2 linked regions of the Astyanax mexicanus genome follow. The protein of the gene in region 1 interacts with the protein of each later gene in a biochemical or structural test. Links are inferred from orthologs where the notes say so. Each region holds a gene or a part of one and is shown on either strand. Other genes may lie near its edges. The genes, in order: rrm1 and ribonucleoside-diphosphate reductase subunit M2.

What was found.
Region 2: the proteins of rrm1 (region 1) and ribonucleoside-diphosphate reductase subunit M2 form a complex in vitro, tested with the Homo sapiens proteins (3 studies listed by BioGRID and IntAct). The link is inferred for Astyanax mexicanus from reciprocal best matches to the Homo sapiens genes RRM1 and RRM2.

What each region holds. Positions count from the first base shown.
Region 1 is NC_064424.1:10,473,346-10,489,192, forward strand, and holds rrm1 (ribonucleoside-diphosphate reductase large subunit), read left to right. Parts: upstream 1-8,344; 5' UTR 8,345-8,483; coding exon 8,484-8,502; intron 8,503-9,802; coding exon 9,803-9,891; intron 9,892-10,088; coding exon 10,089-10,266; intron 10,267-10,375; coding exon 10,376-10,476; intron 10,477-10,570; coding exon 10,571-10,630; intron 10,631-10,754; coding exon 10,755-10,794; intron 10,795-10,896; coding exon 10,897-11,059; intron 11,060-11,356; coding exon 11,357-11,498; intron 11,499-11,603; coding exon 11,604-11,687; intron 11,688-11,771; coding exon 11,772-11,933; intron 11,934-12,024; coding exon 12,025-12,104; intron 12,105-12,303; coding exon 12,304-12,505; intron 12,506-12,618; coding exon 12,619-12,768; intron 12,769-12,876; coding exon 12,877-13,098; intron 13,099-13,231; coding exon 13,232-13,308; intron 13,309-13,406; coding exon 13,407-13,542; intron 13,543-13,943; coding exon 13,944-14,039; intron 14,040-14,305; coding exon 14,306-14,494; intron 14,495-14,584; coding exon 14,585-14,776; 3' UTR 14,777-15,221; and 1 more. Other genes in the region: slc6a7 (sodium-dependent proline transporter), read right to left, coding at 2,087-2,300, 4,900-5,028. UniProt on the Homo sapiens protein: Provides the precursors necessary for DNA synthesis. Catalyzes the biosynthesis of deoxyribonucleotides from the corresponding ribonucleotides.
Region 2 is NC_064408.1:76,110,387-76,126,660, forward strand, and holds ribonucleoside-diphosphate reductase subunit M2, read left to right. Parts: upstream 1-8,049; 5' UTR 8,050-8,068; intron 8,069-9,860; 5' UTR 9,861-9,869; coding exon 9,870-9,962; intron 9,963-10,193; coding exon 10,194-10,262; intron 10,263-11,430; coding exon 11,431-11,577; intron 11,578-11,676; coding exon 11,677-11,793; intron 11,794-11,894; coding exon 11,895-12,028; intron 12,029-12,057; exon of another isoform or gene 12,058-12,196; intron 12,197-12,274; coding exon 12,275-12,369; intron 12,370-12,741; coding exon 12,742-12,875; intron 12,876-12,990; coding exon 12,991-13,095; intron 13,096-13,445; coding exon 13,446-13,559; intron 13,560-13,651; coding exon 13,652-13,804; 3' UTR 13,805-14,198; downstream 14,199-16,274. Other genes in the region: klf11a (Krueppel-like factor 11a), read left to right, coding at 877-1,125, 1,346-2,246, 2,526-2,821. UniProt on the Homo sapiens protein: Provides the precursors necessary for DNA synthesis. Catalyzes the biosynthesis of deoxyribonucleotides from the corresponding ribonucleotides. Inhibits Wnt signaling.

The sequences.
Region 1 (15,847 bases):
GTACAAAGGGAGGGTGTGGCTGCAGTCAAGCTGAAGCCCATCTGACACCACTTGTTTAATCAAGTTGGTAAGTTGGTATCTTTCTCAGTGTCCTTATTTAAAAAAAAAACTAAAATATGTACACCCTAGTTGTATGCATCCCATTTTTGAAAGCCTTCACCCCAGAGGAAGTTCTCAAAAAGTTGCATTTTGTAAAATTCTGTTTTTGTGTACAGAAGGACAAAAGAATAAGAAAAGGATACGTGTGGACTAGGCTTTTAGATACGCTTAAGACCATGACACACAACTTGACATATTTGACGTATTTGATTTGCTTAAAGACAGAATTCAACATCAGCTCAGCTTTCGCTTATTCAAATAAAGAACTTAATAAATCTTAATAACGTTTTTTTTACAGTGCTTTAATGTTATATTTCAATCCATCAAATACAAATGCACCAAGTTATGATGCACTCTTGCACAGGAAGTATTTATAAACATGGGGAATGAGGAAGTGGTGCTCTTTGTAATGATTTTGATATAATATCTTTATCAAGCTGTAAGAAATTGAAATGACTGTTTTCTTTTTTTTAGATCATCAAGTTTCAATTTGTTAACCTTGCCACAGAAACCTGTAACTAAAAGAAAAAACTTTACCAGCAGTAACATCATTTCCATTACAAGACACAATGTACACGTGTAGACCACACCCAAGAGAGACTGGAAGCTCTCCAAGCTCATTCTGGAAGGATTACAGAGCTTACAGGACACTGGGAGGGACTGGGCGTGTGTGCGTCTGAGTGTGTGTAAGTGTGTGAAGCTGACTGCAGTTTTGGTATCTGCTTACAGGCTGTCACAGGCTGTCACTGTGCTACTATAGTTTCAAATCTGGCATTTCACTGGTACAGAATGTAGCAGTTGTAGCAGTTGAATGTAGGAGATGCTGGGTGGGTGATTGAGAACATACAATGAAGTGTTTGTCCACAATCCACATTCTCCCTGCCTGTGTGACATAAAACTCACAGTAGCAAAAATTGTACTGTTTTTTTTTTTTTTTTACATTTTGATTACCATGTCAGGCTTTGCAGAAGACTGTATTTCAAATGTCACGAAACACACCCTAACCAGAGCTTAATTTGGATTACCCACAGCCTCTGACATGCAAACAACATAATTTATGGGTGCTACCCAACCTGTCGAGAGCAAATTACTCTCTTGTTCGTGATAGGACTGCAAGATAACATATTACATTATATTACACTCACTGTCAACGAAATAGTTGCAAAACTAGTGTCAGATTGCACATGCTATTTGGAAGGAAGATAAAGGTTATTAATAAAGATAAGTTATTTTTTTGTATTTTATATATTATATATTTTATTAATTGAGTTTTTGAAGTGTTACCCCAGGGGATGGCTTGGGAACACCTACACATGTATAGGTTATTGGGTGTTAACTTGTGATAAAGGCTGAACACTGGCCAATGTGTTTATGGCAATATGATGTGAATTATGGGAGTTTTAGCAGGGCCTGACAGTGGGTGCCAGATGCATGGGGAATTCCATTTCTGAAGGTCATTCTTCAGTCCTAAATGTGACATGTGTACTGAGAATATGTGATGGAAATAATGGGGGGTAATGATTGTGATCGGCAGCATCCGTCACTACTATCTGTGTACAGACACCCGTATCCCAAATGCATATCCCACAGGTCAGTGCATCATTCTATAGCTCCCATGAGACACAGTAAAAGTCACCACACTTTTTGATGATATTTTTTTACTGATACTAATATTCCATTTCATTTACAAATTAAAATATAATATTTACTGTGTAATATAAAAATTACTTTATTTATAATTATCATGATTTTTGCCCTACTGCTTACTACTAAATTTATCCTATTTCAACCTTATATGCAGACCATATTGCTTTACTGATCTGTAAAAACAAGAATGGCAGAGAGATTATATTTACTGTAAATACACACATGAAGCCAAGCAGTGCTGCTTTACTTTATTCTGCCTATCAAAAGCGATTCAGGCTGACTAAATTATATCCCACTTTCTGCTCAGATGCAAAGTTCAATCCCATTGATGAAAACTCACCTCCACCATTCCGGTAACAAAGGTAAGGAAACCTCCAGACATTTCCCAGGCCGACACAGTAGCCGATACAGGAGAGTAGAAACTCGTACTTGCCGCCCCACTGCTCTCTGGGAAGCTGGGGGTTTGCTGAATGAGCCGGAGAGGGTGGGGAAGATGCAGCAGCACCGGTCACACTGCTCTGGGGAACACTGAAGCCATTCACCTGTGCTGGACTCTACCAAAGAGAGAAAAATAATAATTGTGTTACACACAACTCTACACCATTGAGTGGGGATGTAAACTTCGTTCCTAATAACAACTTAATTACAGTTCTTTAGAAAATAATTATCACCACAATTTTATTCAATTCCACTAATTATTAATTTAGAATGAAAATGTAGTTACTAAAAAGATATTACTATTTTATTATGTACAATTAGGCATGTCACAATACCTATTTTGGGACATCTTGTCCTAGAAATTCATAATAAATCATTTTTTGAGACTACTTTATGCCACTGACAAGTAATATAATGACAAGTAACACAAATATACTCTTTTAAAAAGTAATGAACTATTAATATTTAAAAAAAATTCAGACAATGGAACTGGAATATTAAAAAATAAACAAATCTTAAACAAATAAAACATCATTTAAATAAAAAGACTAACCAATAGTATTAATTAGTATTATTATGTAATATTGTGGTCAGTAAAATGTATTGAGTTCATGTCCATATATTGTATGATAAGGCGATAATAAAATGATCTACAATAAATTTACCCATTTCCACCTTGAGACATATTTGCATGTATTTTAACTATGAGTCAAACCCCACTCAATTTGTGTTTACTGTTTCACATACAAGGAATCTCATGTTATTTCAACCTTTACCTGAAGCTGTTGAATTAAATGCACATAATTCATAAGTTCTCAAAAGAAATCAATAAAATAAACAACATTACTATTACAAACACATGTATGAAGTATACAGTGTTAAATGTGAGGATCAACCTTAACTTGACTGCTAGTCATCTATCTCCCCACATAAAAGAAGCCATTGAATTCTAGTTTCAACCGAGGAGCCAAATAAATGGCTTGATACTGATACTGTCCTTGAAGTGAATTAGGCGTGATACTTACATTAGCAAACTATAGAGGAACCAGAGAACCAGAGCATGCTGTATTTGATTCTGCACTCTAATGAAAGGGAAGTCATTCTGGTTTGCAGACCATGATATTGTTTCTTCACACAATGGCTGGCAAGAGGAAACTTGTCAGAGCTACACAGATAAATACACTGTAGGCCTATCACACACACTGCATCATAGCTCTCTTTATTTACTTTATAGGGTTGAATGAAAGTGGAAAATAGACGCAATAAATAGCAGTCAGAAAGCTAAAATGCCATGAACAAATGACTTGTTTATGAAGAGTGTAATAAAAAAAATATTTAAATGATTAGAGAATTTTAGGTCTAATTTATTGTTCCCAAAAGTTTAGTTTGGGAGTGTTTTGTTCACAACTGTATAAAGACGTTTAGATTTAATTCAGTTCAAATTTATGCTACAAAAGTTATTTTTTTGTTATTTTGAACACTTCTTGTACTTGTTGAATATTGACCTCACAACATATTGTTATTCATTTAGTAAATAATTTACTGCCTTGAGAAGCCAAATTTAAACTAGGCAAAAACTAAATATTGCCCCATAAATAATTGTGCTAAACAATATTATTGTCATTTTAAGACCATTTAATGCCACTAATATAATGACATAATAATTTCATTGCATAAAATTACAATTATATGAACTTTTAAGTCTAATTAATTAATTAATTTTAATGGATGAATATAATTAAACCACTCTTTTTTTAAAGGAACATTCCAGCCATTCACATTAATTGTTTTCGCTAAGAAAAACATAATATAATGTGATTCCTCTCTAAATAAAATAATTGAGGTTGTGCAAATATATTGTAGGGTGTTGTGGTAGGCCTAATATGTACTAATATAAAAATAAAACATATGTTTATATTTAATTAAGTTAAAATTCCTGATAAAGGTCAGCGCACAAATTTTATTTTGACCACTTCTGGTACTTTTTGACCACTCTGTAAACTGACCATGTCTAGACCATTTCTGACCATCAACTATACTGTGTAGCCACCACACATATTACTATTTTAATTTATGATAATAATAATCATTATTATTATTATTATTATTATTATTATTATTATTATTATTATTTACACTTTTGAGTGTTGTTATTTGTCTGTTTCATTTCTTATATTTTCATTTACCTCATAACATATTGTTATTTATTTAGGAAATAATTCACTGCCTCGTGAAATCAAAAACTTAATTGAAACTTAATTCTGACTGGGAGCATTTAATAAACGTTTACAAACAGTTATAGTTAATAAAAACAGCACAAAATATAGCCTGACTGTTTGTTGTTGTTGTTGTTTTTTAGTTGAACGCTAAATTCCTCATTCACTTTCACTGTAACGTTAGTGGTGGTACTTACTTAAAGTAAAGCCAGTTGTGCTAAAAACTACTTTTTGAAGCAGTATTAAAGGAATAAAAACAGTGGTCTCTGTTGATACACATTTTCCTATTTTTTGTTGTACTTTTCCAGGAATGAGGTCAAACAGGTTGAGTTACCTCCTCACCCAGTCAGTAAAAACCAAACCAAACCAAACAAGCCCACTCAAAACCGCCAGACTACAGCTGTCCAGGTTTAACACTTTCTTTACTGTAATAAAGTTTAATAACCAGAAACGGCTGAAACCCCGGGCCCCGGTAAGGGCAGGTCTCTGGCCGGCTCACCTCCGTGCGGAGCTCCGTGTTTCCAGGTGGAGCTTTCGCCTCCTCCGCGCTCGGCATCTCCCCAGGGGCAGCGGCGCTCGAGCCTTTCTTCTGATGCTCGCTGTTACATGGCTCCGGTAAAGGCTTCATCGAGGCGGCGGAGCAGCTTCACAAACACGCGCCCGTTCAGGACCCGCCGGACTAACAGTGATGAACCACCGCGAGAAAAGTTACATTCCGCCCCACAAACTCACAGCAGCCCGGCAGCAGCAGCAGAAGCAGCGCAGGTGTACAGTTCAGCTCGCCATGTTTGATCCTGGGGAGGGGAGGAGACAAAAAGAGAGAGAGAGAGAGAGAGAGAGAGAGGTGAGAGGAGGAACCTCTCTCTCCTCACCCCTATAAACAGGCCATTATACACCTGAGCACACCCACTCCTCCTATACAGCATTCCTTCTTCCTATCTATCTATCTATCTATCTATCTATCTATCTATCTATCTATCTATCTATCTATCTATCTATCTATCTATCTATCTATCTATCTATCTATCTAATTTTCCTGTCTATATGTCTCCCTGCCAGTCTACCTGTCTGTCGCTTAATTTGTCTTAATTTATCTCTCGGTTTTCTATCTGCCTGGATCTATATCCATCTTCCTGTCTGTCTATTTGTTAGTTTGTCCATCTGCTTGTCTGCCTATCTATCTGTTAATCTTCCTACATATCTGTCTGTCTACATTTCAGTCTTTTCAGTCAATCTGTCTGCCTATGTGTCTCTTGCCTGTCTATTAATTTGTCTTAATTTATTTGTCAGTTTTCCATCTGCCTGTATATCCATTTATATACATCTTCCTGTCTATTTGTTAGTTTGTCTACATGTCTTTCTGTCTACCTGTTGTCAGTCTATCTGCCTGTCTATTAATTTGTCATTAATTGTCATTTATCTGTTGGTTTTCTGCCTGTATATCCATATGTCTGCCTGCTTATCTGTCTGTCTGCCAATTACAGTCTTTAAATAAACTTCAAATAACAAAAAGACAAGTTTATATATGCTGTGTAAATAACCAAAGAATTAAATAAAGAAATAAAGGAAGCCTTTTTCCTGGTATAAAAAACACAGATCTCTCTTAAAAGCTGCTATATGCCGCTTTTCTTCTGTTTGACTGATATGTGTTGCACAGCATTTTGCTCTCGTTTCCACAGGAAGCCACGCAGGAAACTGCAACTTTGCTAGTATGAAGTATAGGCCAGTGACTGTATAGACCATGAGTTAACACCTAATTCTAAAAAAAAACACAAAAGATTAGATATCTCACATTAAACACTGTAGTGTATTGTACATTCTGATGCATCTTGTTTTTTTCTTGTTTTTTTTTTTTTACTTTAATGCAGTGTTTGTGTGTTTAGTTGCTGGCTATGTGAATGTTTTGTTTGATGTATTAGTGCAGTACACTTGTACTTGTTTGTCTACAATTACTTGAACTCTAGTCTATTCACATATTTTCTGCTAAAGGCCATAAGTGCCAATGTTGCCATTTTAAATATATAATTTCTCTAAGTCATATTAATCTTTAAGTGTGTTTTATTAGTTTTGTATGTTGTGTAATTATGTTCTGTAGTGACAGTTAGTAATTGCATAAAGGTTCACACTGTACTTTATGACTGTGTGTTTTGTTGTTTCTAGGTGATGCTCAGACAGGTTCCTCCTTCTCTGTGGGAAGTGTGTGTGTGTGTGGGGGTGGTTCTGTTGTTCAAAAAGACTGCTCCTCCTTCTGCGAAGAAGGAAGTGTGTGTGTGTTTGTGTGTGTGTTTGTGTGTGAGTGTGTGTGTGTGACCCTGTGGGAGTGGTTTTGTTGTTCAGAGAAACTCCTTCTCCTGTCAGAAGATGGTCATGTGGGAGTGGCTAAAATATTCACATGAACTCCTCCTCTTCTTGGCATCAGTTTCTCCAAAACACAAAGAAGGAAGAGGTGTAAAAAAGAGGAAGAAGTGTTCAGAAACATTCAGAAATGCTGTTACCAGGTAGGAAACCAGTCATATCTGAGTCAGTGTGCAGTATTTTAGCATTCCTAATATAATATAGTCAGATGATAAAACACACACTATTATTGTATATAATACTTATATACAATAATAATATACATTTAAACAATATATCTGATACATCTGGCTATTCTGGGCCTGTCATTTGCTTTTTTCTTTTTAAATTCTAGTATTTAACAGAATAGTAAAAAAACATTTTAAAGATATTTAAACTGTTATGTTACCAGATAAAACAGCTGCAACAACAAATTAAGTGCAGGATACAAATATATTACATGTGTATTATTATGTAACATATTACATGTCCAGATAAAAATATTAGGTTCGTTATTTAGGTTCAAACACATAAGAGAACAGAAATGATGAGAAATGTACTGACAGTTAATGTCAAAATAATAAAATATATGTTATATGATGTATATAAACATCAATATAAAAATCTCAAGGATTTTTCTTTTTATTTTGCACTGAGGGACTTAGTATTAGTTGTGGTGTTGCTTTGTAAAATATGAAGAAGGAACAATGGTTGTGTCAGTTTGTATACCCTACCCCACTCCAGCTCCTGACACACACACACACACACACAAACACACACACACACCCGCCAATCTCACTCACATCGAGTTTTGCCGGTTTTCAAATTTCCCGCCACATAAAATACCATCTGCTTCCGCCACGCAGAAAACAGAAAGAAGTCCGGTCTCTTTTATTTTAGTATTTTTTTTTTTTTAATTTTTATTATAAAATAGTATTTAAAAATTGTTTATATAAAAACAATGCACAGTATGATTACTAATCAATACTAATTACTAATAAATTACTATAAACAAATAAACAAAACGGCAAATTTCAAAAATGTAATTTCTTATTAATTCTTATTATCAAGTATGTTTAAAAATAGTTAAGTCTCACATTACAGTATATATTGCATTAGCGTATAAAAATCGTTCCCAATAATAACTCACATGGGTACACAAGTTAGCTATATTGAAGCGATTTTTATCGCCCTCTCCTTCTTTTGTTTATTTTTATTTTTTTGAAGCAAGTGTATTTGTCTGTTTGTGTTAAACTTTTTTCTGCAAGAGACTAATACCTACTTATACGTACATCTGCTGTTTTTATAGCACCATCCACATGTTTACAATATGCATTACAAAGCAAAAGTAGCCATGTGGACTCTTTAATGTCCACAAGCCTAAATCTTTCTCAACAAACATAAAATATATTATCTCACAATAAATAACACACTACAACATAAATATTCCAAAGACTGGAAGAATGATAAATAGTAGGTCACCTTCACTGTTTTTAGAATTTATCTAATCCAGTAAAGCTGCCAGTGGCTGCAGATCAGGATGTCCCGCCCCCAGCCCTCCTCTGATTGGTCCTCGCAGTTAAGCATGGAGGTTTTCTGTCACGGTTTGAAGACATTCGCGCTTTATTTCTTGCATCAGCTGGTCAGTGCTGGACGGCAGGCCCAAGCTAGTAGTTAGATACACAGTACCTCTGTTATAATAGTCATTTTTGTACCAGTTTTGCACTTTTCCTTACAATATAAGTAAACATGTACGTCCTCAAGCGAGGTGAGTGTGTTTTTGCCTCTTATTTTGCCTCTTATCTAATCTGGTTAGGTTAGCTGTGTTAAATAGCCCTATATTAATCTTTATGCTTTAAATAGCCAACTAACTGACATTTTATATAGCTAGTAATGTATGTTTTATAACAGTTAATATAAGTGAGCTAGCTAACGTTATTTTGGCAGTGAACTTCTATATAGTTAGCTAGCTATATATGTTTGTAGCTTTACTGTAGTCCTAGCTTTGCTTTCTGATATATTTACTCTATTAGCTCTGTTTTAAACCTGTGTTTACTGTTGTTAAATCCAGACAAGTGGTTTAAATGATAAATATAGTTAGGTTAATTATAGTTGTGTGAAGTTCCCAGTAAAGAAAGCTAGATAGCTAACCTAGGTTAGTTAGCTCCAGCAAATATTCAGAATAAAGTCTCCGGTTTATCCACTATTCACATGAACAGCTAATAAATCCGTTAAATATTATTTATGCTAAATAAAACATGCATTTAGATGACAGTTATATAGCTAACTTCGCTATATTATCACCATTGTTCCTGTATGCTGCAGTACTCCTCCTTTGTTGTCAGTGTGGTTGGCGCCAAATAGCCTGTTGGCCGAGTTCGTTAGCTAGTTAACTGGCTAATCCCTCTCACTTCAAGTTAATTTAGCACAAGATAATGTCTTATTTTCTAACCTTTGCGCCTTTAAATGCTAAATTAACTTAAATACCTTGTATTTAAAGCTTTGGTGGTAAGGTACTGAGCTTGGGAAAAACTTTGACAAGTTCTCAGCATAAAGGAAAAAAAACATATAAAAACAAACTTCTTTAAAATCTGATTGCGGTACACACCCTTAACACATTTTGCAATCTTGTAATTATAATCATGTTTGCTGCAAAACAAGTGAATACTAAACTAGAACAATAAGGTCTCCATGTTTGACCTAGTTTGGTTCGAAGCAAGCTAGACACACACCTAAACGCTACACACATACAGAAAATTAAATTTGTTCAGTGTAACAGAATTTGTAAATACAATCTTAAGAGTTCTTGACTTTTTATTGTTTATATGGTACTGTTTATTTTATATAATATTTTTATTTTTTAAAATAATACATTTATTTTATACTGAGTGCCTTGCTATCACTTTTCTGTTGTAGTACTGTGAATTTGCCCACTGTGTGACTAATAAAGGATTTTCTTATCTTATCTCTTATCTTAGATTGCTAGCTTGGTCAATATTGACTATTGATACAAAACACAACTTTTCTAAGGTTCTGTATTACTAAAAATGCCTATTTTCTATTTGCAGATGGACGCCAGGAGCGTGTTATGTTTGACAAAATTACCTCACGTATCCAGAAGCTCTGCTATGGACTCAACTCTGACTTTGTTGATCCTGTATGTATAGGCTATTTATTCTTTGTGAGATTTTTGTATCGTTCTACAACCTCAAAACCTGCATACTGACATTGCAATATGTTCACAGCTTTAGACTGTCTGATCTGTTTAATAGAATTTCTTTTTTATTATTATTATTATTAAAACATGTTTACAATGTGTTTTAACAATATGCCTTTCTGCTGTTGTGTTTCCAGACTCAGATAACAATGAAGGTGATCCAGGGCTTGTACAGTGGGGTGACCACTGTAGAGCTGGACACCTTGGCTGCAGAGACCGCTGCTACCCTCACCACTAAACATCCTGACTATGCCATCTTGGCAGCCCGTATTGCAGTGTCTAACCTGCACAAGGAGACAAAGAAGGTATTTAGTGGTAAGTAATCTGACCGGCTTGGTGTATATTTCCTGCAGAGTTCCAGAGGTTTGTTATACATTACTTGCGGAAAAAAAATATATATATTTTGTGTTTTTGCTTTTTGCAGAGGTTATGGAGGACCTTTACAACTACGTTAATCCTCTTAATGGACGACACTCCCCAATGATCTCCAAGGACACCCTTGACATTATCTTGGCTAATAAGGATGTAAGAATGATAAAGCATTTATTGTTTTTCTTTTGATCTGTAAAGGTTTTTTTTTTTTCCCCTAATACCTAGTTTTCCTTGGTTCTTTCCACAGCGCCTCAATTCAGCCATCATCTTCGACAGGGACTTCTCTTACAACTTCTTTGGTTTCAAGGTAAATTGAGTCTTGAAAATAACTTCTAATGAATATTTGATGTGCTCTGCCTAATTATTAAAAACAAATTTGATAGTTATTCTACAAATTACTCACCTCAACTGAATGTGTGTTCTTTCTTTAGACTCTGGAGCGGTCGTATTTGCTCAAGATTGATGGAAAGGGTAAGTTATTTGAATAAATGTTTTACTGATTCCTGAAGACTTCTCTAAATATGAGCAATGTCAAATGTTTATTGCTCACTGTCTTTTTGCATCTGGTTTTAGTTGCAGAAAGGCCACAGCACATGCTGATGAGGGTAGCAGTTGGGATCCATAAGGAAGATATTGCTGCTGCTATTGAGACCTACAACCTGCTGTCTGAGAAATGGTTCACCCACGCTTCTCCTACACTCTTCAATGCAGGCACTAACCGGCCTCAGCTCTCCAGGTATACACCAGAGGGAGACATATTGCTGTTGATGAAACATGTTGAAATATGCCTGCATTTCAGAGTTTGGACATAAGAGGGCAGTTCAGTAAAATAAACAAAGCTATAAACTGTAAAGTAAAACAAGTTTTGAAAGTTGTGTTCCTAAAGGTTTAGACTGTTTGTCGTTAAGCCTGTTTGACCTCTTTCTGTAGCACTTGGGTGCAGGAGACTTATATAATCCTTACATGTAATGAGGTTTTTGTATAATATATTCAGGTATAATTATCATGATTTTTTTTTCCTTCCTTTTTCCAGCTGTTTCCTTCTTGCTATGCGTGACGACAGCATTGACGGGATCTATGACACCCTGAAGCAGTGTGCCCTGATCTCCAAATCTGCAGGAGGCATTGGAGTTGCAGTGAGCTGTATTAGAGCTACAGGCAGCTACATTGCAGGAGTAAGTCAGATTTTTCCAGTTAAGGTTTGAATTTGGGAATTCTTTGGGACAGTGGGGAAAAATAAAGATCTCAACTTTATCTTTTGTTTGTTTTATAATTTTCAGACAAATGGCAATTCAAATGGACTGGTTCCCATGCTCCGTGTTTACAACAACACAGCTCGCTATGTTGACCAGGGGGGAAACAAGGTGAGGGAGAGAGACAGATTGTATTTTTGTTGTTAACCTCAGTGTTGGACACAACTTAAGCAATCCTTATCTGCCTTTTTTCAGAGGCCTGGAGCATTTGCCATGTACCTTGAGCCATGGCACTTTGACATCTTTGACTTCCTGGAGCTGAAGAAGAACACGGGTAAAGAAGAGCAGAGGGCCAGAGACCTGTTTTATGCTCTGTGGATTCCTGATCTCTTCATGAAGAGAGTGGAGACCAATGCGGTAAGTGCAGCAATTTAGGGGAAAATAGCTCTGTATATGCTAATGTTAAAATATGCAGTTAATATAATTAATTTGTAACTTGCTTTTCCAGGAATGGTCCCTTATGTGCCCAAATGACTGTCCAGGTCTGGATGAGTGCTGGGGTGAAGAGTTTGAAAAACTGTACACCAGGTGAAATACCCATTTGTGATTCTGGCCCATCCACTAGACTCTTTGCATATTAAAAATTTTAGTGTTTTGACTCTAAATAATTGGTAAAATTACCCTGAAACTACTACTACTACTACTATTTAGAAATAAAACTCGTAATTTTTTTTCTTATCTGAACAATGCTTTTTTTTTTTTTTTTTTTTTTTTTTTTTTTTTGCAGGTATGAGCAGGAGGGCAAGGCAAAGCGTGTAGTGAAGGCTCAGCAGGTGTGGTATGCTATTATTGAGTCTCAGACTGAGACTGGCACTCCCTACATGCTTTACAAAGATGCCTGCAATAGGAAGAGCAACCAGCAGAACCTCGGCACCATTAAATGCAGCAATTTGTGTACAGAGATTGTGGAGTATACAAGCAAGGATGAGGTGAGGTTTTACTTTTTTTTTCTTTTTTTTTTTTTTTTTTTTGCAGGTATATTTACATATTTTTTCTATGTTCAACGAAAGTCTAACTTATACTTTTGCTTTGAATTTTGCAGGTGGCTGTGTGCAATCTGGCGTCCATCGCACTTAACATGTATGTGACACCTGACAGGACATTTGATTTCCAGAAGTTAGCATCTGTAACGAAGGTCATTGTCAGGAACTTGAACAAAATCATTGATATCAACTATTACCCAGTTATTGAGGTGAGTTGTGGGTGATGTTTCTAAATATTGAGGTTCCTTTACCTTATGATTTATAAACCTGCTCTTTTCAAAATGATTACCGGTACCCTTTCTCTCATCTCTCAATAGGCAGAGAGATCCAACAAGCGCCACAGGCCCATTGGTATTGGAGTGCAGGGCCTGGCTGATGCTTTTATACTCATGCGGTTCCCTTTCGAAAGTGCAGAAGCTCAACTCCTCAATACACAGATCTTTGAAACCATCTACTACGCTGCCTTGGAATCCAGCTGTGAGTTGGCTGCTGAGCATGGACCGTATGAAACCTATGCTGGATCTCCTGTTAGCAAAGGCGTAAGTGTCCAAACCACAAGACTACTTTGCACATAAAGGCTCATACATCTAAGCATAGATTTATATGATTTGTTTAAATTAGTGTTGGTGTTTATTGTATCAGAGATTTACACCCTCTGTCTCTTATCTTCAGATCCTGCAATATGACATGTGGGAGAAGACCCCAACAGACTTGTGGGACTGGAAGGAGCTAAAGGAGAAGATTGCCAAGTAAGTCAAGTCTTCAGTAGGTCTCTTACTTCTGTATGTTAAAAAAAAAAAAAAAAAAAACATGCCTAATTGTGAGCTTTTCTTGGGTTGGTTTGCAGGAATGGTATCCGTAACAGTCTTCTGCTTGCACCGATGCCCACCGCTTCCACAGCCCAAATTCTGGGTAATAATGAGTCCATTGAGCCATACACTAGCAATTTCTACACACGCAGAGTGCTCTCTGGGGAGTTTCAGGTAAAATGATTTGCTTTACCACATCTTTCACATTTGTTGTGTGTGTGTGACTGATGGGAAGGATTCTTAATTACATTCTAAGATGATCGTACAATATATGGATATAACCTCAATTATAACTGATCTGTCTATTGCCCATTGTGCTTACTTAGCAAAAGGAAACATTTTGCTTATTCAGGATATTTAAAGGTTTTACATGACAAGGTGACATTTAAAAGTGTTTTTTTTATTTATTTTTTTTTTTTTATTCTGTTGTAATATAACGATCAGTAAATTGTCAATTGTTATTGTAACAGGGCTACTATGTTTTATAGGGTATTATTATTTTTTATATATATAATCATAATTTTTTTAATATATATGTATATACTTACTTACCAATTATTGTTTGTCTCTTTCAGATTGTAAATCCTCACTTGCTGAAAGATCTCACAGAAAGAGGCCTGTGGAGTGAAGACATGAAGAACCAGCTGATTGCTCACAATGGTTCAATCCAGGTAGGTACAGTGTATGAAAAGAACAAGCTAAATATTTAAGAAAGTAATCATATTACCCAGTAGATCCTATAAATAGATTAGATTAAGTAATCTAACAGTCACATGAATATTATCAGTGTGACAAATCTTTACATCTCCACAATGGCAACTCCATAGGAAGGGAAGACTTGTAATTTGTGAGCATAATAATGTATTTTAATTTGTGTTCCTGCCTTTATATTGTGTTTTTCTGTTCTCTGACTTTTCTGGTGGGCTTCTTTTTGTAGGGTATTCCCACAATCCCAGATGACTTGAAGGAGTTGTATAAGACTGTATGGGAGATTTCTCAGAAGGTGGTCCTCAAGATGGCTGCTGACAGAGGGGCTTTCATCGACCAGAGTCAGTCCCTCAATATCCACATTGCAGAGCCCAACTATGGCAAGCTTACTAGCATGCACTTTTATGGCTGGAAGCAGGTGGGTTAATAATCGCTTTGGATCTACAGTATATAATAGAGCATTACTCAGTCAAGCAATGGAGCTTAACTATTGTCTTTTGTTAAACAGGGGCTGAAAACTGGCATGTATTATCTGCGCACAAAGCCAGCTGCCAAACCCATCCAGTTCACCCTCAACAAGGAGAAACTGAAAGAGTCTCAGACAACCAAAAGCAACGAGGAAGAGATCAAGGAACGCAACACGGCAGCTATGGTGTGCTCTCTGGAGAATCGTGATGAGTGCCTGATGTGTGGCTCTTAAAGTTTCTCCTTGTCTTAAGCATCCTTGCTCTTCAACCTTGTCATGTTGAGCTTCGTAATCAACCGCCAGGTGTTTTGCAGTCATTAATGGCACTTAGAGTATTTTGTCTGAATTAATACAAGGCATCAAATGAGGTTTCTGTTGCTAATACTGTTGCTGTGGGACATGCATTACAGTCTTTTGATCTTCTATTTTAGTGCTGTACATAGAATGCTTATCAACCAAATAGAGCTATAAAATGTTTCATATTTATTTCACTTGGCTATACTGCCTAACAGTTCTGTACAGATTTCCACTGATCTGTGTATGATTGCATTTGATGATAATACATTTCAGAAGCAGTGTTGATGCATGTTATTTACATAGAATATCTACTATTAACTGTCCAGTCTGTAAAGAATTGATTGTTTTATATGTTAAAACAATAAATGATTTGTACTTAAAATTTGTGGGGTTTGTCTTATGGGTTCATCTGTGTAATGACTACTTTTCAACTCTTGATGTGCCTTTAAACATCAGCCAAAATCCCCGTCAGTCCAGACTCCATGCAACTAAAATGTTTAGTTTGGAGATCACTTGTTAGATTGGTTGTCAGCTATTTAAATGGCCAATGCCTAGTTTGCAATAAGGTCTGAAAAATGAAGGTTGTTTTTGGCCCAAATAACTCAACATCTTAATAGCATTAGCCTGTGTATAAAACCAGTTTATATTATGAGGCTAGTAATACTTTTATGGAACACTTCACACTAGGGCTGCAACAATTAATCAATATAATCGACAATGCCGATTATTTAAATTAGTCGACTATACATTTCATTGTTGACTAATCGTTAATTTGTAACAGTGCCACATTACACTAAGTGCTGGGAACAGAAGAAACTTGGTCTGTGTCTCAAAGTGCTCAAACACAACAGATTACATATGTATCCACTAAATATCAGTACTCTCCATGTTTAAACAATATGTGGACATTTAAATGCCTTTTAAATTTCATGTTTAACTTTTTATTCTGTTTTTAGAGATGGAGGACATGGCAGAAAAAATCATTGACTAATCGAAAAAATGATAATC
Region 2 (16,274 bases), on another chromosome or scaffold:
AAAGTCTATTTTTGGCGATGGGAGGTTCCCAGCAGTAGAGTTTAGTGTTGGTGTTGAGGGCTGGGTGTAGCAGCCAAGCAGCAGTGGCGCCTCACTCTCGACATTAATTTCTTTGCTCATCTTTCTCTGTAACTCTTGCATTCTTACAAACAAGGGTTGGTTCCTAAATGGTTCTTGACTTGGGTTTGTAGTTCTAGTTCTAGAGATCCTGACATTATGTCAAAGCTTTTATAAACTTTTTGCTCACACAGTTCATAATAGTCTTAGTTGGCTGGATTTTAAGAAATCAAACCCTTTTTGGTTCCTTCAAGAATCTTAAGTCTTTTGACACCTGTATTTGTGTTAGTGTATGGGGGAATAGGTTTGGAGTGACATGAAACTAAGGAGGCAATATGAGAATATTTCATCATAGTGTCATTATTTAAAAGCTTGTTGTGGATGTCAATCTGATATTACATCAAATGGTATAAAATGGACTAAGGCACGACTTATAGTATTTTATATGTGGCACACTTGGTCTAATTTAGCAAATGTTCCACTAAATACTAAATATTGTGATTATATTATTATATTGTGATTATATTATTTTTTACCATTATACTAAATTTTGTCTTTCTCGATTTTCAGACATTATTAGCCATTGATAGTAGTATATTAAGGTTCATTTAAAATAGTGCTTTGAAATAAAGACATGTGACTGACAGTAAACCGGAACTAAAAAAAAAAAGTTATTTTGAGTTTTTCTTTATCTATTGATAACATTCACATTTACTGTAGTTAAATACATGATTATCTCTGCTATATTCCAATTGTGAGTCATGTATTGAGCTCTCTTCCCAACATATTAACATTTCCATCTAATGTTTCCTGCTGCAGACCAGTCTCATGGACATCTGTGAGGTGATAATGGAGAGGAACAGGAAGGACAGTGAGAAGTCCTGCTCCACCACACTGCAGTACCATGACCTTGAGGCTGCTGAGGCACTGGTGTGCATGAGCTCTTGGGTCCAGAGGTCACCCAAACCGCGCCCGCTGACACCCACCTCCGACTCCTGTGACTCGCTCAGTCTGCACCATGAAATCCCCCTGGAATCCCCGAAAGACCTGGTGTCCCTCTCTTCACTAGTGAGTATCAAATAATGAAACATTTCTGGGTTATATGATTATATCACAAAAGTTAGTAAGAAATGCAGTCAGACATTTGATCACATGCATTTAAACATAATGATAGAGAACGGAGAGCAAAGTTATTACAGAATTGACAATTTCAAAAAGAGTTCAAGCATGTGAACTGAACTAAACTGAATAAATAAACATGCTGACTTAATTTTCTCTTCTACCCCAGTGCATGACCCCACCACACAGCCCCAGCTTTGCTGAGACTGCTACAACTTCTGCCATCATCACCACCATGACTCCTCTGGCTGGGTTGGGTCTCAAACCGAGTGTCTCACAGCCCAGAATGTGTCCCGTACTGACCAACGTGGTTGCAAGCCATGGCAGCACCACATTCCTACCAAACACTCTTCCACCACCACCACCACCACTACCCTCTGAGCCACCTTGCAGGGCCATGGCCACCAGTGTCATACGGCACACTGCAGACACATCTTTAGATCACCACATTCCATCCCCTTCCACAGTACAGGAGAGGCCAGGACCCTCAGAGAGTCCTGTCCAACAAAGTGATTCCAATACCCAGGTTGCCATACTGACTGAAACACAGGTATGCAGTAGTCCATGTACTACAGCAGAAGGGGAACAAACTGTCCCCTCACCCAGTTCCTCAAACCCTGTTTCACAGTCCTCCCACTCCATGCCTACAGCCCCAATAGCCAGCCCTCCAGTTCTCTGCCAGGTGTTTCCCGTGAATGGGCAGACTGGCATCATCTCCGCAATCGTTCAGACACACGTTCAGATGCAGGCCACTGGGCAAAAGCCCATTCTCCCACAGTCACCCTCTTTTTCTCAGCCTCTTCTTGTGGGGTCTCCAGTGGCTCAAGGGACCGTGATGTTTGTGGTCCCCCAGTCTCAGGCCCCTCCATGCCAACAAAATGTTGTGACTGTTGGCAGCACCAAACTCCTGCCCCTGGCCCCTGCCCCGGTTTACATGCCCCCAGGTCAGAGTGGGGGCACCACACAGACAGACTTCTCTCGCAGACGGAACTACGTCTGTAGCTTCCCAGGATGTAAGAAGACCTACTTCAAGAGTTCTCACTTAAAAGCCCATCTGAGGACCCACACAGGTTGGTGTTAAATCACGTTCAGCAGAAAGTGCTGTGAACCTTCCCTATGTGCTTTACAGTTGTTTTAATCACCTTGAAAATAAAATTTTAACATACATTAACCTCTTTTTCACAAATTGTACAATATTGTTTTTTTTTAATAGAATAAACTAACACAATTGATTCTGAATTGTCCAAAAAGGTGGATATTATTAAGACATCCAATCAGGGTTGTTTTTATTTAGTAGGTGAGCACTATTACGTGCTGCTCTAACTCCAACTCTTGTTTGTGTTCCTTAGGTGAGAAGCCTTTCAGTTGCCACTGGGAGGGTTGTGACAAAAAATTTGCACGGTCTGATGAACTTTCTAGACACCGCCGCACGCACACAGGGGAGAAGAAGTTTGTGTGTCCTGTGTGTGATCGGCGCTTCATGCGAAGTGACCACTTGACCAAGCATGCCCGTCGTCACATGACCACCAAGCGGTCCTCAACATGGCCCACCGAAGTGCGTGAGCTCAACAAAATGGCCTCCTCCCAGACGCCATCTACACAGTCTTCTCTTGCTCTCAGTGTCCTCTTACCTGCCTCAACCTAGGCCAAACCTCAGGCCACTCCGTCACCTCAGGACAATATCCCACTGACCATTTTACAGTGGAAACAGAAAACCAAGGCTGCTACACATCCATGTACAAAACAGACTGACCTTGCACTGGATTTTGTTTTGTTTTCTACCATGGTCATTTATAAGGAATTATTGTTTACTTTTGTATAAGTTATGTCTCCCAAACTGTATGCACTTCCTTTGCCAAAGTCTTTGTGTCAGTTCATATTACTTATTCTAAACCGTTGTATATTTGTACATAAATTATAACTATCTATATGAATGTAATGTGTATTCAAACATGCATTTATTGACAATATATGAATAAATGTCTCTGTAAAGTGAACAGTATTCCTACCTGTGATACTACCTATCTTCCTTTGAATATTATTTAATAATGAACATTTGAAGATTCAAATAAACCATCATGCTTATGATGTGGTGTCTGTTTCATTTGAGGAAAATAAATTATAGTTGACAACATATAGCAATATGCTACCAAGAATTTGTTCTACAACCTATTTTTGCCATGTAAATTTCCACAAAAATAGGTAAAAATTGTGACAGAAACATCACTTCATGACGTAGTTAGCCTAGAAAATATGTAATGTGAATTTTGTTAAGAAAGGCACCCAGAAAGAAGCGCAAAACAATAAGTTCATTATGCAATCCTACACTGAGCTTTGCTGGATACAGTTACACAACACTCGCTCAGCGCAATCTCCCCATAACACCCAGTAACAAACCTCGTCCAATCACATCACGCCGTTGTGGAGCGGTTAGGGGGCGCGACCAATCAGGAGCGACCTGGGGCCGTGGTGCATTAACTGATTGGTGGATTTTGAACCCGCCCAGCTGCCTTACTGACCGATATTCTCACACGATGAAGGAAAATTTGCGTAAAGATGAAACCGCCAGATGAGGGGAAAAATAACTGACGTAGGTTTCATGTTTTAGCTGCTTAGCGCTACACCCAAAAAATCTATATACGCAGTTTTTAAATAGTTATAATAAATAGATAAAAATAAAAAGCTAAAATATGAAATGAAAGCCATTTGGGATTAAACTGGGACCCGAACAATACCAATACCAAACAACGGTGTCAGCTCGTTTTATTTAATAATTTAAAAATATGTACTAATAAAAATATTTATCTTTTTTTTTAATAAAAAAAAAAAATACAAATAATAAATACATATACATTTATTTTTATTTTTAGCTAAACACTAAAATTATAAATATTGCAGCCCCTGACAGTCAAAACATTTAGCATAAACATGTAAAAAATCTCGATTACATGCAAAGTCAACGTTTTGTACCTACCCACAATGTTTCTTTTCTGAGAGCAGGGGTTATACAAAACCGTGCATAATAAAGATCAGTGGCTTTACATCTACACACTACAGAGACCGCACGCTTCGCTATGCTGTTTACACTAGCAGACTCGTTTCCGAGACAGAAGCAGTGGTGTTATCACTTCAGTCTCTAGATTAGACTAGATTAGCACATTATACGTAATTCCATCACTGTCCTCTGAGAAAAAAAACACATACTGAGGGGAAAAACAAGTCGGACTGGGCTATTCTAACAGGCCTCATCTAAAGTCACAGCGACGCGCGCCCCCTGCTGTTACTGCACCTCTACTACACATGTGCACAACACCTCTTCAACATCACTACACATGCAACTGAACAACTGTTCAGTATGTGCCCGCTAATCTTCTGTTAAGCCAATAGTTGTTGGAACACTGATGTGAGGACTTGATTAGAGCAGTGGTGAAGCCAAGTATTGACTCTAGTTTTCTAAAGGGAATTTTATCCCTCAGCTGGTTCCAGTAGTTAAATGTGCCTTTACACCATTCTTATTCCACCAGCAAATCTATTCTATGGAGAATGCACAAGTGTATGTGTATTTTACAGCAGCAAAAGTCACTTAGTAGGAGTGTCTTGATCATTATGTACTTGTTATTATGAAAAATGTTAAGAACTACTGCTAAGGTCCAGGCCCTCTGCTCAGCAGCCAATCTCCATCGAGGGGGTCAATGTGGAAGTGGTCAAGTCCTACAGATACCTTGGTGTGCACCTGGACGATAGGCTGGACTGGTCAGTGAACACTGACTCCCTCTACAGGAAGGCCCAGAGCAGACTGTACTTCCTCAGAAGGCTTGGGTCCTTTAACATCTGCCAGAAACTCCTGCTGATGTTCTACCAGTCTGTGGTAGCCAGCGTCCTCTTTTACACTGTTGTGTGTTGGGGAGGCAGCATCAGCAAGAGGGATGCTGGACGACTGAACAGGCTGGTGAGGAAAGCTGGTTCTGTGTTGGGACTAGAGTTGGAGTCCTTAACACCACTGGCAGAGAGGAGAGCCCTCAGCAAGCTGCTGAACATCATGGACAATGTTCACCACCCTCTGCACAGCACCATCACCAGGCAGAGGAGCTCATTCAGCGGCAGACTGCTGTCCCAGTCCTGCTCCACAGACAGACTTCGAAAGTCTTTTGTCCCTCAGGCCATAAGACTGTTCAACTCCTCTCAGCACAGCAAACTGAAGACTCTGTGACACCTTTTCTTTCCAGCAATTCTGGCCACACCATGGACATACCCCCATCTATGGTCACACTATCTTGCTGATGCCCATAACACTATTTTTATAGTTCTACCCTATTTTGCACTAGTAGTTCATTCACTAGTTCATTCATCTACTGTTTACGTATCTTTTGCACTGCTAAATTTAAATTATTATATAACTGTGTTTGCACTTTCTGTATGGCGGACATCAGTTATCCTTATACTTACTTTATGCACATCAACTGGTGTTCGCTGTCTATTGTGTTCAACTGCACTACCTCCATTTTACATCACACACACACACTAAAGACTGTACTTTTATAATTTCATTTTATTTTTTATTTTGTTGTATTTATATGTATCATTTATATATTTTTTTATCTTTTTGTAACTTTGTGTACTATACACACCTGCTGCTGGATGTCAAGAATTTCCCCTCGGGGATCAATAAAGTATCTATCTATCTATCTATCTATCTATCTATCTATCTATCTATCTATCTATCTATCTATCTATCTATCTATCTATCTATCTATCTATCTATCTATCTATCTATCTATCTATCTATCTATCTATCTATCTATCTATCTATTTGGTTTAAACAACACATGGTCTGCAAATGTTTCCCTCTTCAAGGTATAGAGCAATATAAACTAAACAAGATTAATATAAGATTGAATGGGTATAAGAACAAAACTGTTTATTTGTGAGTTGAGGGTATTCATATTGTATTATTTTTTTTATTTACTGAGATGGAATGAGTAGATGTGTTAATGATTCAACAAAAGTGACATACAAATCTGACCTTAAGGATGTTCTATGGCTAAATGCAATCAGATCCTTACAACCAAAAAATCTAACATAAAGCCTTCTTAAAAGAGTATATGTTCTTACTGAAGTGAAGAGAACAAATCGGCTATTAACACCCTTATAGACATCTTAACATGTGGTGTCTTTAAAATATTAAAATATGAAATTTTTTCGGTAGTGCCCAGCCCTGGAAAAGCAGTTACTGTAAATTTCACTGTGATTTTGCTAGACTGTAGTTGTTGTTCTCATTATTTTATATTTCCGATACAGCAATCATCTTTTCTAAATAGAATGATCTTAAGCTCTAAAATAAAAAAGTCTTTTTGCTTTTAATACTAATAAATTACCAGAAGTGGGCCCTGAACATTTTTACAATTCAAGTTAAAAGACTGTATTTTTTCAAAGCATAATAAATTTATTTCTACACACAGAAATGTGTGTGGTACATAAACTACTATTTTCACTGTTGCATGCTCTCTAAATATTTGCTGCTTTGTGTCTGACCCCATCTCTCTAGGTTTCTTGAGATTTTATTTAAAGCAACTGATCCCAGGAAGAGATGATCATATGCTAACATATGCTAGTTTTACTCAGAGAGACTTTAATACTTTTACTCTGATACATTTTTATGTGCTGCACTGTTACTCGTTACAGTTCTAAAAATGTTACAAATTGTTCCAAACCCACACTATCACTAAAGCTACAGGGGTAGATGGTAATGTTACTGGGTATCAAGCAATCAAGGAAATCTTATTCAAAGACTGTGCTTCTCCCGTTCTGCTTTTCGCTTAGCAAAGTTCACAGCTTTCTGTAAGAATTACATAACACAGTACTGTACTTTTAACTACTTGCAAAAATTACTTTAGTACTTCTACTTAAGTGTGGAGCTTAAAGAACATTTATACTCAAGTCTGTTTTTTGATATAGAACTTGTAGTGTTACCTAAGTCTGGGTCTCTAGTTCTTTATTTTAGTACGAATATTTTTCTGATACTACTGCAGTTCAGTTTGTTGTCTCAGTACTTGTAGTTTTGACCAGCTGATTTTGTGGTTTTACTCTTTTTTTGCTTGAATTCCACATACAGTCGAGACATTATTTTACTGAGGTGGCATTACACATCAAAATACAGCTCTGGAAAATTTTAAGAGACCACTTATTAATGATGAGCTTCTTTGATTTTACCAAATTGAAAACCTCTGGAATATAATCAAGAGTAAGATGGATGAGCACAAGTCATCAAACCAAACTGAACTGCTTGAATTTTTTCTACCAAGAGTGGCACAAAGTTGTCTAAAAGCAGTGTGTAGGACTGGTGTTGGAGAACAGGCCAAGATGCAAGAAAACTGAAAAAAAAAAAAAAAAAAAAAGGGTTATTCTGCCAAATATTGATTTCTGAACTTGTTTTCTTTGCATTATTTGAGGTCTGAAAGATCTGCATATTTTTGTTATTTCAGCCATTTCTCATTTTCTGTAAATAAATGCTCCATTTTTATTTGGGATTTGGGAACTTTTGTCTGTAGTTTTTAGAAAAAAAAAATAATTCAAATATATACCTATAAATAAATAGCAATATCAGAGAAACCGATGTGGTCTCTTACTTTTCCAGAGCTGTATTTTTCAGTGTAAGGGTTAGTGTACTCTCCACACCTGTTTAAACACAACTTCATGTGTAACTCTTCCTCTGTTTGGCTCTTTTTTGCTCTGCTGCGTGTGAAACCTCCTCCCTGCAGAGGGCGGTACTCGGTACACAGCGCACTTTATCCTTTTGTTTGTGTTGCTGGGCTGGGGAACAGCTGTGGTGATGTTTGGATTAAACAAAGAATGTGTGTTTTTAGGGGATTTATGAAGAAATCGTGTAGCTACGGTACCTTCAGCTCAATGAGTGTCTCCGCTGTGACTGTTGTGTAAGGTTGTCAGTGGCGCTGTGTTAACTTGTAAACAGGAGCAGTGGCTCTGTGTTGGTGAATCGCGGGCTTTAGCTAACCCGGCTAAAGCTTAGCTCAGGGTAGTTGTGTAGTCGTTGGCTTGTTTTATCTTGTTTTTTTTAAATATAGGGCCAGCTCCTGTAACACTATAAAGATTAAAACTCTTCTGTTCAATAGTGCGGCTTTAATGTACAGTGACAGCGCAGAATCACATTTTATAAACGCTCTATAATTAGGTTAAACTAGCTACTGCAGGAAGGCTAGCTTCGCGTCCGCGCCAAATAACATTATTATTCTTCGGACATTTCTATCTTATCTCGCGTAAATAACTTAGTCCGGCAACTACTAAACACTAAGAGTTAATAAATAGCGAGTTAACCTGTTTTCACTGAACTGTTCTAATCAGTACTGTGTGTTGTGTTAGATCTGCTGTATTATGTTTTTCTTACCAATCTGGCGGGAATTCGCGAACCAGGAATGTTTTGTCATCACATAAGAAAAGCAATTTATAAAAAAAAGACAATACACTGAATTATCCTATTTCCCCTCATTTATGATTACAGTGCATGTCTGCAGCTACTGATCGTTTTTGTTATATATATTTAGTACTATATCACTTCATAACCCAGTGTATGTGTGACCTACATTTATAGCCTGCATCCATACTTGGATTTCCTTTACGTTTTTTTTTTAACGTATAAGCACATTTACGATTAAAAATGTAACTCTGTATATTTAAGGTGCATGTCTCTCTAGCTGCTGATTTATGTGTGTCTATATTATTTCATAACCCAGTGAGCGTGATTCGTCCGCTTGTTATAACCCAGCTAACTAACTACATCCGTACAGTGAACTTCCTTATGTGGGGGTTTTAAACGTGTACCAAGATTAAAACACAAAATAAAACACAGATTTCCCCAAATGTTATGTTAAGTTATGTTTAAGGTGCATACATGTCTCTATTTATGTATTAAGTAACTTAAGTCCATAACCCAGTGTGTGATTCTTCCTGTGTTTATACAGCCATACTTTTACTTCCGCATCCACGTTGTAAAACGTATAAATAAGTACGTTTACGAAATGCTATTAACTATATGCTGTTTTGCACACGTGTGTTTATTACTGATCGGTAGATAAACTGGATAGTTTAGATATTTAACCTATAATGCGCTTTTCGCGTAGAACAATGACAGGGAGTTGCAGCATGATTTTTAAAATACATATATATGTAGCGTTAAGATGTAAGCTAGGTTATGGTGTTGCATTATAAATTTCTAGCGTATTTATATGTGTTTATTTGTCGATGTGAGCGCGTTTAATGTCAGTTTAAGGTTATATTAAGGTTATATTTTTTATCCGAAAGCGCGCCTTTTTTACACAATCAAATTTTACTGCCGTGTTTGTGAAAAGGAACACACACCCGGCGCGTTTGAAAGTTCCCGCGATCTGCAGCTGACGCCTCCGCTGCTGATTGGCTGGTGACAACAAAAAAAATTAAATGACCTCCGGGAGCTCTGCTCCTATTGGCTGAGCCGGATCGAGCGCCAAGAACTGAATAAAAAGGGAGCAGCGAGAGACTCTCCTCATTTTAGTTTCTTCTCTGCGCTTTAGGCTGTCGCTTGCTTAGTCTCTGCTTTTATTTTACTTAGATCACTTTTTACGTTTTTAGTTTTCCTTATTTTACTGCTAGAACAACGTTTTCTTCTTTTCCCCCCCTTTTTTTTATCTCAGAACTACACAATGCTGTCCACTCGCTCTCCTCTCAAATCCAAGCATGAAAACGCTGTTTCTGCTAAAATGGGCTCCATGGGGCTGGTTGACAAAGAGAACACGGTAAGAACGGGTTTAATTATTGAGCTAATACTATTTATTTATTTTTTTCCCCCTTTTTTTTATGTTTTCAGTTCATGTGTTAATATTTTTGTTAATGGCACGCTGGGGATACACCGGGCTGTGTGTGTGCGTACAGTTAGAGTGTTCTAAAAGACCTGTTATTGATGCAGTAAATATCAACTAATGCAGTTAATTTTAATCTAATATAAGTTACCTGTCTTTGCTCTATAGCCACCAAGTCTGAACACGACCAGAATCCTGGCTTCCAAAACGGCGCGTAAAATCTTCGATGACTCTGAGGTGAGTAAACTTTCCAACCTGAGGCATTTTTAGCTAACGCTAGCACGCAACAGTTAACCTACAGTTAACTAGCTTCTGTGTGTATTGTGACCCAGCAGCAATATTACACAATTCACTTGTTGGTTAAAGGTTTAAAATAATTATCTTGTTGTGCACCGCTGATTTATAGTTAGTTTCATTTGCACAAAAACTGTTTTAACAAAAGCTCCAGCAAGGCTAACCTCCCCCTCCTCATCACCCCCGCCAAACAGCTGACGACGTCCTTTGGCGGCAGAAAGCTAACCCGCTAGTTAGCTTAGTTAGCCTATTGTGTAAACCTGTTCAGGCAGTCCTCTTTTTTTACTTTGTTCAGCCAAACCACACGTTATTTAAAAAAAAAAGTACTGAAGACATCGCCTTTTTAACACCATCATTACCTTCTAAGTTAGTGTTAATTCCATAGCGTGACTACCATAATTTTACCTTTCTAGTCATCTATGGTAGGTTAGTAAGTCAAAGAGTGGCCTTTCTCAAACCTTTTTTTAGTTCGGTTTTTCATTTAAATTAACAAGCATCAGTTTTTGATGATGGTAGCAGAGCAACTTAATCAGTAACTAGCTATTTGCTTTGTTAGTTAAGAGGTGTTTGATACATTTGCTCAAATATATATTAAAGTAGTTTTATCTGTGACTAAGTGTAACTTTTACCTTGAATTATTTGGTTATACAACTTTTAGTGCATGCAAGTGGTTCTGGCTCTGAAGTACCTGATTTGGAGACTTTCCAAATAGTTCTGATTGTATGACTATACAGATGATCTGTAGCTAGATGGCTGTAAACTGCAAGCTGTTGTGTGGTTTTAAATGATGATAAAAAAAAATAGTAACCAACTATTATGGGTATCGCATTAAATACCTTAATTTGGAAACTGTAGTGCACTACAGTATGTATGGTGGTAACTGTTTCATGATCAGGATTAGTAACTAATTGTTACTTAAAATGATGGATCCTTGATGCAAATTATGCAATCATTTGTACTAACAAAAAGGCTGTGCATATAGAACATGGTCTACTAAAGGTTCGGACTGCTGCAAGGCTAGATATTTTATTAAACTACTTTGTATTTTTGCTGTCTGTAGCTGCACAGAAAAATGAGTGTTTAATATTTCCTTTTTTCTGATTTTGTATAGGACAGGCAAAAAACAAACAAAGCAACTGTGGAGGAAGAGCCCCTTCTGAAAGAGAACCCACGCCGCTTTGTCATTTTCCCCATTCAGTACCATGACATCTGGCAAATGTACAAGAAAGCAGAAGCTTCTTTCTGGACAGCTGAGGAGGTATGCTTCTGGCACTTCTGGTGAAAGTCTGCAGCCGTTTAGATTTCATTATTTGCATGTAAGATATCTGTTCTTAAATTTTGCTGTCTCCCTCTGCAGGTTGACCTGTCCAAGGACCTTCAGCACTGGGAGTCCCTGAAGGATGAGGAGCGCTACTTCATCTCTCATGTGTTGGCTTTCTTTGCTGCAAGTGATGGTATCGTCAATGAAAATTTGGTAGGTTAAGAAACCTATTCACTTGTAAACAGCTTGCACTTTACATCTTACACTTTAAGTCACTTGTTTTATTCTTATTGGATATTATTTTTCAACACTAGGTGGAGCGCTTCATGCAGGAAGTGCAAGTGACTGAAGCACGCTGTTTCTATGGCTTCCAAATTGCCATGGAGAACATTCACTCTGAGATGTACAGCTTGCTTATTGACACCTATATCAAAGACTCCAAGGAGAGGTTAGCTGAACCTTTCAGTTTCTGTTGTGAGGGCAGTGATGAGAAGCGCAGGGGTACGGACCTCAGCTGATAATGGGAGCTGAGTGTTGGTGTCTCATCCCAGATCAGTAGGCATGTGGTCAACTGTCTGGAGGGCACCAACATGAAACAGTCGCTTTCCTGAGCCCTGAGGAAAAAAAAGTTTAGTTTATTGATTGCCGCTTGCCTTTCTGAGTTGTCACTAAGATTCTTGCGCTGTTTCCTCAGGGAGTACCTCTTCAATGCTGTAGAGACTCTTCCATGTGTAAAGAAGAAGGCTGACTGGGCACTCAACTGGATTGGCAACAAAAATGCTAAATATGGTATTTTTCAGAACCTACTTTTCCCTCTACTTCAGATTCTAAAACATTTTTCAAACATTTCAAATTTTCCAAATACCACATACACATGCCTATATTGCCTATTCTGCTTTAATATAGAATAAATGCAGCAAGAGTATAGAGAACTTTAATTCTACATAGAATGACCATAAACAAATTTGTTGATCCTAGTGCAAAAAGTATTGAACTGGTTTGTATTAGTTTACCTTCCAGTTTAGTTATCTAGTGTGCCCCCTGATATTCTTTTTGTACAATCAGTTGTACACAAATTACTTATCTAATGTACATGATTGTCTTATGTTTTAAATATGGATTGCAATGCGATTCTAATGTAACTTGTTATATGGTCTACAGGTGAAAGAGTGGTGGCCTTTGCTGCTGTGGAAGGAATCTTCTTCTCAGGTTCTTTTGCTGCCATCTTCTGGCTCAAAAAGAGAGGACTCATGCCTGGCCTTACCTTCTCCAATGAGCTCATCAGCAGAGATGAGGTAACTATCTTGCACCAGTTAACAGGCTGTGTCATTAAGATTTTCAGGGTTTTTTTTTTTTGTCTGTCTTTATTTTTTTTTTTGTTTTTTTTTTAAATGTGTTTCTTGTTTCCAGGGTCTTCACTGTGACTTTGCCTGTTTGATGTTCAAGCACCTGATGAACAAACCCTCTGAATCAACGGTCAAGAAAATCATTATGAATGCTGTTCAGATTGAGCAGGTATGTTTCAGCTCTATATATTGAAAGTAAATAACACTTTGTACCTTGCGATCTATTGTGTATTTAATTGAGCAGCAATTAAATTGCATTTGCTTTTCATAAACATTTTAAATGATCCCAAAGTAACTTTTTATGCGGTCTTAACAGTGGGATCTTTCAAACACTTCTAGCTAGTGGTCGGGGTTAACACGTTACAATGAATGGCTTTTTTTTTTTTTTTTTTTATTAAAAAGACTAGTGCATTCTGTTTAAAATAAAGCAGTAATGCCAGGTCACACTACTTCAATGTATCTGTCTTTTGAATGAATTTAAAAACAATATTTTAAACGCCACTGTTTTCTGTTTTTCAGGAGTTCCTGACCCAGGCTTTGCCAGTTAAACTGATTGGTATGAACTGTGACTTGATGAAGCAGTATATTGAATTTGTGGCCGACAGGCTGATGTTGGAGTTGGGCTTCAGCAAGGTGAGAATTGTTTATTGTTGGATGTGTGGCCAGTGCTCGCTATCCTCATTCCTACATTGTCCTTCATTTGATCCCTTTTTCCTTTCTTGTAGATCTATAAAGTAGAGAATCCCTTTGACTTCATGGAGAACATTTCCTTGGAGGGGAAGACCAACTTCTTTGAAAAGCGAGTTGGCGAGTACCAAAGAATGGGTGTCATGTCTGGACCCACAGATAACACTTTCAGGCTTGATGCTGACTTCTAAAGTTTTGACAGTGAATGGACACTTGAAACATTTAACACTTGAAGAGGTGATGGTCTGTGGCCCGCCTCCGTATTTCGCCCGCAACGTAGTCACTCATCAGGACTGCTGGATAGGCACTGAGGAACATTGTAACCGCAAATTCACTCTGCAGTATTCATTCATTTGGGCATATGTGGTTAGGTTTTTTTTTTTTTTTTTTTTAAGAAATGTTTTGGAATATGCTAATCCCAAGTGCAGTAAAGGTTTTAGTTTTGTGTTTTATTGTATAAGTTTCTGCAATTGGTGCTGGTTTTATTTATAGCTTGTACAAACTGCGTTTCTTGCTTTCCTGTTATTGCTTTACCCTGGTGAATGTCTTAATGCATTTAAATGTGTAAATAAATTTTTGATAAAATGTAAGCTCTCCTGAGCCATTTATTTTGTAGTGTAACATTTTGTATTAAATAATTGGTCACTTTCATGCTATATATGCCTTCAACTGTTCTGGTCAAGCATTTTAGTACATGTTTATGAAGGTAAATAGGTGTTGCTTGATTTGAAGACTTGAAGATTTAAAGGCAGCATTGTAAAATTTCTAATGCTTGGGCTCCCCCTACTGCCAGGGTGTGTAATTCACACTTTGAGCTACCCCTAAAAGACATGCATTTCTGGATAAGCTGAGACTCATTTAAAGAGTGGATGGGAAGCAAGTGGTATTGTATTGCATTTATTTTACTGGGTTTTACACATGCCAAAACTGGCAGTGTGCCAAGTCTGGGGTGTGGTGATCTATTACAGGTCCATGGTGCATTAGTGTGTGTGTGTGTTTGTTTTTTTTTGTTTTTTGTTTTTTTTTGTACACCCATTAAAAAAGAACAGCAGATTGCAAACATGGAAACTTAGTGCTCCATATATTTATAGCTGTAATTATCTGGAGCACTTCTGGCATGGACTGAATGAGCCAACCATCCTTCAGTATCTTGGTTCTAAATGTACTACACATTTGAAAGCTTCAAATTGAAAAACATTTTTCAGAATACATTTTCTTCTAAGCTATAGATTTATAGATCTATGTACCACATGCATACTAAACTCACAGCGAGAGCTATCCAGGCTCGTTAGAACACTTTCTTTCTGTTTGTATTTTAATCCTTCTTTCATCCTTTTCTATGATCAGGACCAACACAGATCAGGTAGTATCTGGGTAGAGTCTTTCTTAGCACTGTAGTGACTAACACTGTGGTTTTTACATACTGTCCTCTCTAAGACACTTCTTCCTAGCTGCTTCATCTTGTAGATTGTAAAAATTCAGAGACAAATGCTTATTTCTTGTGTTTGTGGTGTATTTTCAATCTAGCAGTGACACTGAAGTGTTTAAAACCCCCCAGCAGCACTGCTGTCTGATCTCATACCAGAACACCACCACCATGTCAGTGTCACTTCAAAGCTAAGAATGACTCCTCATGCTTCTATATGCTCATTGGATCCTAAAATGGATAATGGTGAAACTAGTTGAAACATATTATTCTTAATTGCTGTAAATTGTAATAAATCACTTTAAGTAATACAGATAATGCTTGTGTGCACTCTAGATCAAATTACATGTTTTTTCATTTTGTATATACGCTGTGTCCTAATGTTTATGGTGTTATCCATTATTCTGACCTCACTAACACATTTGTTGCAATCAAAATCTCTGCAATCAATCTTGTAGAGAGCCTTCCCTGGAGAGTAGTAATAGTTACATCAACCAAACAGGATAAAATATTTTATTATAAATGAACAGGTGTCCCAATACTATTGTCTATATAACAAATGTAAGAAAGTGTTTTTGGTTTTGCTTTACTCGAATGTACAGCTCTAGTGAATACTGGTCATGGTAACAGATTGCACGTGACAGATTTAATGTGTAGTTATTGACTGTGACATGGTCATTAATAGCAGAAATATTTATGTATGAAATGCCATCCATGTCATCATCGGGCCATCCTGAAGGGTATGCTGCTGACAGGAGCTGCTTTAACTACCTCATTGACACTCATATAATAGATCTTGTTAATGTACAGCATGGCATGAGGCAGCTGTTACAAGCAACCCACAGGGAATATCGAAAAATGACCCACCACTGTTTCAAAACAAATACTGGGACAACAGGATCATGCAGAATAACAGTGGATACAACATACTTTATGTCCAAACTTTACATGACAAAAATGTCTTCACTTTCATTAAAAGCCAATCTAAATAGATCCTATTCCAAGTCATTTTGAAGCATTTTTCTTGGTTCATTTATCATTAAATGTTGAAACAGTGTAAAGAACAACTGCCAGATTTAATCAAAGCTAAAAAAGGGGGGGGGGGGGGGGGTGAGTGATGAGTGATGATATTGCAAGGAAATAAGTTGGGGGGGAAACTTTACCAATTTCACCAGAATTCCAATGGAAAACATTGATTAGTTTGGATAACAAATGTTATTTTACAATTTACAATT